Linked DNA regions of Arabidopsis thaliana. The protein of the gene in region 1 interacts with the protein of each later gene in a pairwise test. Each region holds a gene or a part of one and is shown on either strand. Other genes may lie near its edges. The genes, in order: bZIP23, WSIP2 and TPR2.

Evidence for each region.
Region 2: the proteins of bZIP23 (region 1) and WSIP2 interact in a two-hybrid assay, tested with the Arabidopsis thaliana proteins (one study listed by BioGRID).
Region 3: the proteins of bZIP23 (region 1) and TPR2 interact in a two-hybrid assay, tested with the Arabidopsis thaliana proteins (one study listed by BioGRID).

The regions. Positions count from the first base shown.
Region 1 is NC_003071.7:7,277,374-7,281,128, forward strand, and holds the start of bZIP23 (Basic-leucine zipper (bZIP) transcription factor family protein), read left to right. Parts: upstream 1-2,057; 5' UTR 2,058-2,294; intron 2,295-2,388; 5' UTR 2,389-2,485; coding exon 2,486-3,206; intron 3,207-3,415; coding exon 3,416-3,444; 3' UTR 3,445-3,574; exon of another isoform or gene 3,575-3,755. UniProt on the Arabidopsis thaliana protein: Transcription factor involved in the response to zinc ion deficiency. Binds to the consensus sequence 5'-[AG]TGTCGACA[CT]-3' also called zinc deficiency response element (ZDRE).
Region 2 is NC_003074.8:5,370,111-5,373,865, reverse strand, and holds the start of WSIP2 (WUS-interacting protein 2), read left to right. Parts: upstream 1-1,576; 5' UTR 1,577-1,701; exon of another isoform or gene 1,702-1,933; 5' UTR 1,934-1,996; coding exon 1,997-2,076; intron 2,077-2,246; coding exon 2,247-2,426; intron 2,427-2,515; coding exon 2,516-2,629; intron 2,630-2,740; coding exon 2,741-2,899; intron 2,900-2,983; coding exon 2,984-3,161; intron 3,162-3,246; coding exon 3,247-3,367; intron 3,368-3,755. UniProt on the Arabidopsis thaliana protein: Transcription corepressor of Zinc finger transcription factors GAF1/IDD2 and ENY/IDD1 in regulation of gibberellin homeostasis and signaling.
Region 3 is NC_003074.8:5,729,540-5,733,294, reverse strand, and holds the start of TPR2 (TOPLESS-related 2), read right to left. Parts: upstream 1,777-3,755; 5' UTR 1,587-1,776; coding exon 1,507-1,586; intron 1,422-1,506; coding exon 1,242-1,421; intron 1,163-1,241; coding exon 1,049-1,162; intron 961-1,048; coding exon 802-960; intron 719-801; coding exon 541-718; intron 452-540; coding exon 319-451; intron 183-318; coding exon 67-182; intron 1-66. UniProt on the Arabidopsis thaliana protein: Transcriptional corepressor. Negative regulator of jasmonate responses.

The DNA.
Region 1 (3,755 bases):
AAAAAAAAACTCATTAATCTTACTATAGTTTTTTGTATATGAAATCAAATCTTCAAATTAATGATTGTGTCCGGCACGTTATTCTTAAAATCAATAGTTGCACTTAACAATCAAATTATATCGCTAGTTCATACTTCCGCATGTTTTTTGTTTAGTTAAATATGGAATACACACTTGTTTTTCTTATAACAAATATCGTGGAACTTTTGGAGCGGATTTGGGATGACGTCTTAGATTATATAGAAAATAGAAGTAGATTTTGACTGAATATCATCAATGAAAGGAACAAAGAAAAATATTTAGGTTGATTTGATAGCTAATTAAACTAGATGTAGACTGATTTATATAACAATATTACAAAACAATGATCAACAATAAATAAATGTCTTTCTAAAAAAGTTTATGAATACCAACTAAACTGGTGGAACAAACCATTATTGTGATGTTGTAAATTTGTAATTGACTTTTTCGATAAATTAATCGAAATTGACTAGACCGGTGAAAGCTAAACCGGTTCCATCTAATTAAAATGAGAAAAAAAAGTAGTGGTAGTAACTTCGTCTCGAACCATGCGCGGGATTAAAGAGAGCGAATTATACGACCACTATGGCAAGACGCATTTAATTGAATAAATAATACTAGATTTGCGCAAAATAGTTGTTATACATTTTGAACAAAATATATAATATAAAAACCAAATAATATTTAGATCCGTGATGTACAGGTTGAATCTATAGAATTTTTTTAGAGGAAGTAAAAAAGAATCAAAATCTAAAGTTAAAATTAATACCTTAAATTTTTTGAAACCTTAGAGAGAGTCTTCTTCCCGTAAAAATATATATTTTACTTTATACTGAAAAAGTATAATATTTTCTATGATTTTTTGGCAAAAAAACAAAGAAATTGTATCACGGAATCTGCAAAACAAACATATTGTTTAAAAAATATTTCTAAAATAGTTATTTAATTGATCGTAATTAATATGTCCCCTCATGTCTTATCCGTTGATTTATTTTTAGTGACAATCCACAAAAATCGGCCATAATCTCTACTTGATAGTTTTTTCTTTCTATTTTGATATTGAAAGGTTAGTCCTATGTTTGACTAATATTGAGGAATCTTCTTTGTTGATGTATTTTGTGCAAATTTTGAGGAACCAAAGAGAATTTCAATTCCAATTTTGGGTGGATTCGAGCTATTTTATTGATTTATTTTTGGTTATATCTCGAAGGATGTTCTGACAATCAATAGATAATTTGAAGGCCAACACTGTTTTTGCATAAATATAGGATTCTTCATCTCAAAAATTAAAAAGATACATAAATAATCGGAACTCACCATATAATTGATCTGTTTTGGTTCTCGTCCTAGTTCTTCTTGTACTTCTCTTTCCAATTTCTTCTCTCCTTTCTTCTTTCCCATTTCTTCTCTTCTTTCTTCTTTCCCATGACTATGATTAGATTTTTTTTGGCCCTTTTTACCAGCAAGATGTTATCTTGTCCATGGAATTTTTAAAACTAGTTCAATTTTGATTAATTATTTTAAATTGACCCCATTATAAAGTAGAAATTAATCCTTGTAAAATTTAGTTTAAGAGCAAACAATTAGATATTATATAACTTTTTAGGCCAATTTAAATCAAAACAAATAAATATAAAATAAAAACATGTCTATTGAAATGATTTCAACCTCATAATTTTGTCCTCTTGTTAGTCTATCATTTTTTTATCATCCTTTTTTTTTTCATTCACCATTTTTCATTGAAAATTAAGTTAAAAATAAAGTTATAGGTTAAAAAATTAATATACATTTTAATTTTAAATACAATGTTTTGATGATTTTATCTAACTGATTATATAAAAAAAATATTCAGCGTCTTCAAAAAAAAAAAGAAAAAAAAATTATTCAGTTAGAATATTGATTCAAAGAAATTTTTCAATGGGTATAAAAAATAGCAACGCAAATTACTTTGGTTGAAAAAAACTAAATTTAAAAATATAATTCGAGTTATAAATTGAGCTATAAACTCAAATAAAAGTTTTAATACGAAATTAAACAATAGAATCTTCTGCAATTCGAAATTCCTTTTGGTACGTCCATGTCTTCTTTCCGCCATGGAAATAATGCCATCTGTTAATCATCAATGTTCATTGCACCTCTTCATCTCTAGGGTTCCCATTTCTAATTCTCTCTTAAACCCTTCTCGCCGTTTTCGCCCATAAGTTTCTCAATTCCCAAATTCGCAATCGTAATGGCGATTCTCCTCAAGCTTTCGTCTTGCTGATCCTTTAAAGGTACGATTTTTCTATTCAATTTAGTATCAGCCAATGATTAGTTATTGATAATTGGTTCTGAATCGCTTGGATTGTGTTTTCACTCTGCAATTAGGTTGTTGTTTGGTTTTTGATCACAAAGTCTCATACTTTTTGGTTAAGATTCAATCAAAAGAGTCAAAGGTTACTTCTTTGTTACTGGGTTTTGAGTAATGGACGACGGTGAGCTTGAGTTTTCGAATTCAAACATGGGTGGTGAATTACCTAGCTGTTCGATGGATTCGTTCTTCGATGAGCTTTTGAGAGATTCTCATGCTTGTACTCATACTCACACTTGTAATCCTCCGGGACCAGAGAACACACATACTCACACATGTCTCCATGTGCACACCAAGATTCTTCCTGACAAAGTTTCTACTGATGATACATCGGAATCTTCAGGGAAGAAGAGACCTTTAGGGAATAGAGAAGCGGTTAGAAAGTATAGGGAGAAGAAGAAGGCTAAAGCGGCTTCGTTGGAGGATGAGGTTATGAGGCTTAAGGCGGTTAATAATCAGCTGTTGAAGAGGTTGCAAGGTCAAGCTGCATTGGAAGCTGAGGTTACTAGGCTCAAGTGTTTGCTTGTTGATATAAGAGGAAGAATTGATGGAGAGATTGGTGCGTTTCCTTATCAGAAACCTGCGGTTACAAACGTGCCTTACTCATACATGATGCATCCTTGCAATATGCAATGTGATGTTGATAACTTGTACTGCCTTCAAAATGGGAATAATGGAGAAGGTGCATCGATGAATGAGCAAGGGCTAAATGGTTGTGAGTTTGATCAGCTAGAATGCTTGGCTAATCAGAATTTAGCTGGCAAGGAGATCCCTGTTTGTAGTAATGGAATTGGAACATTCACTGTCAATGGATCCGGCGTTAATAAGAGAAAAGGTGACATTCTAGTTCCTTTGGATCTCTTTCCTAGAGGCTGTCCTTAATAGCTATATCTTTATACAGTTTTCATCGTAGTTACTTCCATATTGTCACTGTACTTATCCTGGAATTGTGTCATTTCTGAGGTTCCCTTGAACGTTTTTTGTTTAAACTTGTGGTTTGTGTATATTTTGTTTATGAACTCAAGGTTTTTGATCTTGCAACAGGTGAGCCTCGAGCAGCGAAAGCAGTTTGAAGTATCATCAATCATGTGATACTATCAATCATTCACCCCATTTTCAAGTTGGTAGTTAATTTTCTTCCAATAAGTAGTAGAGTTCAACTGCATCACCAGCTTCCTTCAAGTCCATTTGTGCTATCATCAGGTTTTTAGTCTCTTTGCATTTCCTTGTTGAGCTCGTTGAAGCTAGAAATAAGACTTGTTAATATTCAAATCGAGTTTGCTATTTGGTTTTGTACTTTAGTAGCTTCTTTTTTTGTTGTGAAGTTCTTGTAGAAGAGATTGAATGTTGCATTTGGAAAAGTAAGTTATGGGAAGCCATCTCG
Region 2 (3,755 bases), on another chromosome or scaffold:
TATAAAACGGAAAGGGTATGTTGTTGAAGATACTTGATGTTTTAAAATTTGAAGTTGTTGTAGTCATTGTTAAGGGTCGGCTGATGAGTCAGGACAACTCATTGAAACCATTTATTCGATGTTTCAAATATTAAACAAATAGACAGAAGATTCTACTATCTTCTTCAAAAATATAATATTAAACACAAGTCTTTGTTTCTTTGCTAGCTCTAGTTACAGAAATTTTGAATTAAAGCTATGAAAATAACTTTACGTTTAGTAAATTGCTAAAATATTCAGAGCGATCAGAAAGGAATGTTTGCTCTCTCATCTTAAAATTATATATTTGAGGTGATGCTTCTTCACCAACATGGGCAGATGGGCTTATGGAACCATTTGCTGATTAATTGCAGTCATTGATAACTGTCTGGGTGTGTCATTGTCATCAAAGTGATTGTTCAAGGAAAACATGTTTGGGACGAAATTGATTCCCAATCATGTTTAGCAATTGGGCCAGTCAATTCCCCCGATAATCTAGACCTAAAAGCCCAAACCAATGTAAGCAATACTGGTGTAGGAATACTTGTAAGAAGATTTGATATGACTCCTACTAGAACCATAATGTGGATGGACTGTTGAAGTAGCATAGTAATTACTAGCCAAAACATCCATGGGAAAAAAAATAAAGTACAAATATAAATTTTGATTTTTTTTTTTTTTATAAATAGAACAAAACTAAACATGTGAATAGGCCATATCTCTTAAATTCCTAACAAATTAGCATAATATATTCACGGAAATGCGTTACAAACCGTATTATAGAATAAAACTCCACTTTTTACTGTGAATTACTATAACAAAAAAGAAAGAATACACATTTGTAAAATTCACTTATTTGTTACCACATAAGATTTATATTTTTCCAAAAGTAAATTATCCATAAAACCTTTAATTTGTTTTTTTGACAATAAAAGATGAAGAAAATAAAATTTAATTAATTTGCGTACTACATAACTGGAAATAAAAATATCACATCTGATTTACTGCTATTCTTCTCTAAATTAAAAACTTCAAAATCCATTACTTAAATAATTAATTCATAAAAAAAATATTTGCAATATTAATTGACGGTTAGTTGATGTCATAAAAATAATATAATGGCACTAAATTCTATACAGAAACAGAAATAAACCAATTATGAGATACTCTACTTTAATGTATAGTTTGAAAAACAAAAAAAAATCCCCAGCTACGTTCAAAACCTAACGAGAGAGCATTAAATTAGACAGCAGTGTTGTACTAGATTCGCAACAACATCAATACGTCACTTAAATTAAAATAAAATACGAAAACATTAAATTAAAATAAATTTTAGAAAAAGTAATTAAAACGAAGGTTACTTATTATAGTGGGGAGATTAAGCTTTTTGAGTAAATTCCTATCTACAAAATACACGCTTCTATTAAAAAAAATAGAAGCCCAACGACCACACAAAAACAAATTAATTAAATCATAAAAACTCATAAATTAAAATAAAAAGCAATAAATCCAAAAAAAAAAAAAGGAAACTCCGAAAACGAGACAGCATCAGAAATTATCGCCATAAATAGCCCCCACGTCTCTCTCTCTCTCTTCTCCAAAGTCTTCTTCTTCTTCTTCTTCTTCTTCCTCTTCTTCCTCTCTGCTTTGTCTCTCTCCTTCTTCAAAGTCAAAATTCAACAGGTATTTATATTTATAAACTTTCCTTTTTTTCTTTAATCTCTTTCTCGGGAGCCTCTCTCGTATATTCTCGCACGTGCACATCTCGTGCCACCTGGGTTTGGGGGGATTCGTCTTTCGAATTCGATCGATTTCGTTTTTTTTTTTAGATCTGTCTTTCCTTTTTTGGGGTGTGAAGAAGATGTTTTCTTTTATAAAACCCTAATTCTCTCTTTGTGTCTTTGTGTTTGATTAGTGGTTCATGAGTGGTATTGTGATCGATCTGTTACTTTCGGAGAGCGAGCAATAAGAAGAGGATATGTCGTCACTCAGCAGAGAACTCGTGTTTTTAATACTTCAGTTTCTCGATGAAGAGAAATTCAAAGATACTGTTCACAGGTAATTTATATTATATCATTGTTTAATTGCGGTCCCTCTTCCTTTGATTGTCGGGATTAGAGTAAAGTAGGGATTAAGATTAATTAATTTTGATTTTGTAATTTAGCATTATTTCTTCAATGTTAATCCAGAAGCAGTTACAACTTTGGATATTTTTTTTGACTAATTAGGTTGGAGAAAGAGTCTGGTTTTTTCTTCAACATGAGGTACTTTGAAGATAGTGTAACAGCTGGTGAATGGGATGATGTAGAGAAGTATCTTTCTGGATTCACTAAAGTTGATGATAATAGATACTCTATGAAAATATTTTTCGAGATTCGGAAGCAGAAGTACCTTGAAGCACTTGACAAGTAAAGTTTCACTTGTGTTGTTTAGTTTTATTGAATTGAAGTGTGGTTTTGAGTATTGATTTGTTTTCCCATCTTTTGTTTTACCATAGGAAAGATCATGCCAAGGCGGTTGATATTCTTGTTAAGGAGTTGAAAGTGTTCTCGACATTCAACGAAGAGCTTTTTAAGGAGATTACCATGCTTTTAACCTTGACTAACTTCAGGTACATTCTTTACTTTCTTAGCACTTTTTTTTTATGGTTTCATTGACCACTGGATTGTTATAAACCATGCGCTTGTGGTGTTGATGTTTCATTTACTTGCAATAATTCAAGGGAAAATGAGCAGCTTTCCAAGTATGGAGATACTAAGTCCGCAAGAGGTATCATGCTTGGGGAACTTAAAAAACTGATTGAAGCAAATCCTCTCTTCCGAGACAAACTTCAATTTCCCAGTTTGAAGAATTCTAGATTGAGAACCTTAATAAATCAAAGGTACAAGCTTTGTTTTTTTAACTTTTGCTCCCGTTTTTCTTTTGGTGGAACAACTAACTGAACGTTGCTTCTGCTGAATCATAGTTTGAACTGGCAACATCAGCTTTGCAAGAATCCTAGGCCTAACCCGGATATAAAAACACTATTTGTTGACCATACGTGTGGGCATCCCAATGGTGCACACACTCCTTCCCCTACAACTAATCATTTAATGGGTTCAGTCCCTAAAGTTGGAGGCTTCCCACCATTAGGTGCTCACGGTGTAAGTTGCTCTAAGATTACAGCTTCTGTTGGATTAGTTTTTAGCACATGAATTTAACTTTGCTAGTTTGTATGCTCTTGTTCAGCCATTTCAGCCAACACCAGCTCCTCTTACAACATCTCTTGCAGGATGGATGCCTAATCCATCGGTACAACACCCTACTGTTTCCGCTGGGCCTATCGGCTTAGGTGCCCCCAACAGTGCTGGTAATGTTGTCCCTACTAATTTTATTCTTCTGAAATATGTGTGTTGGAGATTTAGTTTACCAAATATTAGCTTATACGGTTATGTAATTTGCCATCCCTTGTTTAGATCATCATTAGTTGGATGGTTATCTGTGCTTCTTTGACTGACTGAACTGCATGAAATGATATAAATATATTTACTGAGTTACATTTTCCAGAGCTGTAGTGGTAAACTGTCTCTCTTTTCTTTTACGGACTAAAGCAGTTTTTAGTGGTAAACTGTCTCTATGGTGGATTAGAGAGAGAGAGAGAACTATATGCTCATATCAGCCGTTTTGTTTAATTTCACAATACTCTTGTTTATAGATAATAGATAGAGAAGCAAACATTTAATTTAATGTCAGATAGC
Region 3 (3,755 bases), on another chromosome or scaffold:
CAAGAGTTTTGTTTGCTAGGTAAGCACTAAGCGTTTCAAAAACAAGGAAAACCTGAAGGCAATTACCTCGTTGGATGTTTGTGCAGACCGTAAGCGTTTCATGAGTTGCTCGTGATCAGCACTTTGATAATCCATTAATCCTAGAGAGTTAGACGGTGCCCGAGGGTGTTTCAGCTCATTAACTGTTGAGACGAAATACAGCAATAGAACTTCAGGTCTTAAAATTCATTTCCTAAAAACTCTAATATCACAAGTAAGAAAAAAAAACGAAAGATACCATAATATCCAGACACTTGTAAGTTGTGACATAAATTATACCTTGACTTGGCTGCATAGGAAATGGGGAAGCAGCGACAACACCAGATGGAACTGATGAAGAAGGATTTGGGTTTGCCATCCATCCAGCTAAAGCATTGGCATTAGGAGCCGGAGCAGGATTAGATTGAAAGGGCTGCACAGATACAGTTGTTTCATCAACCCTCAAAATATGAACATTAAGTTATATAATAGAATGGGTGGAAGTTAAGTAAGTGATCCTACTCCACCATGCACTCCAAGAGGAACAAAGTTTGAAGGTCTTGCAACAGCAGCAACTGGAAGATTGACAGGAGTGAGTGCACGAGCACCGTTTGATGGTGAGCAAGAGTGATCCAAGAACAATGTCTTGATGTCAGGATTAGGCCTTGGATTTTTACATAGCTGATGCTGCCAGTTTAAGCTGCAATGTCCCAAACACACTTGTCATACACTTTAACTAATCTCTATAAAAAAAGGAAAGAATTATGACTCCTCCTAGTTCACCTTTGATTGATCAAAGTTCGCAGGCGAGAAGCTTTGAAACTGGGGAAGGCTAGCTTCTCTCGAAACAGAGGATTCGCCTCAATCAATTTCTTCAACTCAGTATACATTATAGACCTTGCAGATTTAGTATCACCATATTTCGACAGTTGCTCATTTTCCCTAAGAAAAAAACACACTCTTCAACATTATCGTAACCACCTACCAAAACTTCAATAATATCAATGGCAAAGTAAAAAAAAAAAGAAACCTAAAATTCTCCAGAGTAAGCAGCTGAGTAATCTCCTTGTAAAGCTCCTCGTTAAATGTAGCGAAAACTTTCAAGTCTTTGGCTAATATCTCAACAGCTTTTGCTCTGTCATTTCTGTAATAAAAACACACAAATGTATCAAATCAACAACACTAGTCTAAATATCCGACCAAACAAGAAGAGAAATCATTACCGATCTAGAGCTTCGAGATACTTTTGCTTCCTAATCTCAAAGAAGATTTTCATAGAGTAACGATTATCATCGACTTTAGTGAAACCAGAAAGATACTTCTCCACTTCATCCCACTCTCCAGCAAGAGCTTTCTCTTCAAAGTACTTAATGTTAAAGAAGAAGCCAGATTCTTGCTCTAGCCTACACATCAACCAATTCCAAATTATACCCAAAATTACGCAGAGAAACCAAACAAGCACACAAAAACGACAAAGCACAAACTTACTTGTGAACAGATTCCTTGAACTTCTCCTCATCTAAGAACTGGAGAATTAAGAAAACTAACTCTCTGCTCAAAGACGACATTTTTTCCTAAAACTCTCAGAAGAAGAAATTCAAGGAATTTAAGCGATCTGGGTTTATCGTGAAAGAAGGGTAGGTCAAAGTTTGCGAAATCGATTTAGTCGTAGTTGAGAATGAGTTTTCTAGGGTTTCAAGGTTGCATTTCCTCGCGTCGCAAAGCGAACATTAAGAAAAAGCTGACCCCAGAGATGCTACAAAATTTCTATTTATATTTTTTCATTTAATAAAAAAGGAAAAAGATAAAGAAAAAAGTACGACTTGTTCTCCACTTTCTTCGATGCGTTTTGTCACACAGACTGTAGTTTGATAAGTTAACTAACTTATCATTGATAAGTGCTTTCGTTGTCGTATAAGTTGATAACCTCGTTTGGTTAAACTGTTTGGTCTGATCCCTTAGCTTAGGGTTTTTATCTGATGCGGGTGAGCCCACCGAAAGCAGATGTGGGATCTCAGAGTATTCTCCGTATCTGAATTGTATTGACACTTGTCGCGCTTGTGATGCATTTTTAGGTGGGGGTGCAAAGTAGTGGATTATAAACCCTTAGGTGGGTTACGTCACGCGGATTCGAAAAATGGAATTGAAGTGAATTGAGCAGAGTTTTACTGGCGTCCGCCACATGTTGTTGCCTTGTTAGGGGGAATGACGTGGTCTCGATATCTGCGTCTATCTCGTAGAAGTTTTCGTCAGAGCGTGAGAAATACGAGATACTTGCTCAGCTAGAGATTCTCGTAATAATATTAGTTGAGAGCGACTGCTAATGGCTGCGACCAAATCCAGCCAATAATTCTTTGTTTGATCGATATTATAATTAGTCTAATTAAATTATGTACGCAATGCCATAAACAAAACATATGAACATATTTTAAAAAACATTTAAAGTGTGACTGATGGATCATCTTAGTTTTTTTTTTTTTAAGTAATGATTTTCATAGTGTTATAAACATCTAAGAGAATTCATCATCAATTAACAAATCTAAGAGAATTCAAGTCCTAACAATACTATTGGTCAAAAAGTTCATGATTATGTTTTCTCCTATGTTTTTGGAGCATATGAGGATAACTAGAAAAAACAAGGTTACTGTAACCATTTTTATGTATATAACAAGACAGAAAAGAAACTTGAAATTTAATTACACAAACTCTCTAATGTTTCCACATGGTGCTAATCATTTGTTTTTGCTATACGATCAAATACAAAAAATGTATTGGTCCCACATTAAGAGGCCGACTTGATAACTGAAGCCCAGGTTTAGCCCAGTGAGTTGTGTCTTCAATTGCTGTTACATATATAGCCGGAAGGTACGAAAAGAGTTGTAGAAGCTTTGACCTAACTTGGAGATGAGAGATTCAACAATGGCGATGTCCGATCTTCCCCGAGATTTGGAAGAGGAAGTGCTCTCTAGGGTCCCGTTAGCATCTCTTAGAGCAGTGCGAACTAATTAATCGAATATGGTTGCCTCGCTCTTGACATAATAATGGTTTGATCATTAATTTGTATGTCAGACCATTATTATTCACTTAGTATGTAATCTCTCGTTGGCTCTTCCAATATTTTTTTGAAACAGCCGAATACATCTTAGACACTTTTTTCCTTAGAAGCTCTCTTTAGCATTGCTATTTAGATGAAAATAAAGAAGTTCTGTATTGTCCATGATACAATTGTTGTTCTCTTTGCATATGAAAAACAAAAAAATGACTTTATAACATGTTTGTGTAACACATGAGCTTGAAAGCAAAGGAAATAGATGCTTTTTACCAGCTACCAGAATTGATATGTCCACTCTCTTTAAATCAACATATCGGGTCCGATTGGTGACCTATAAATGAATACAAGGAATGAAGAAGAACATGACTAAAAAAGAACAAACAGGAAAAGAAAAAATGATAAAATAGGAATGAAAAGGAATGGATATAAAGGAAAAATAGAACAAATGTTACTGTAAATGATAACCAAAACATAGAATAAATAGTAACAAAAATTAAAAAATAAATAAATTATTTTTCAAATTAAATATTAAATATAAAACGAACATAAATTTAATTTTTATTTAATAAATATTTAATTTTTTTTCCTGTTTGTTCCTCATCAAATTTGGGAAGGAAAAATTTTCTTCTACCATTCCTCAAAAAATAAAGAATGATTAGGAATATTGTGGGGTCTACATATTACA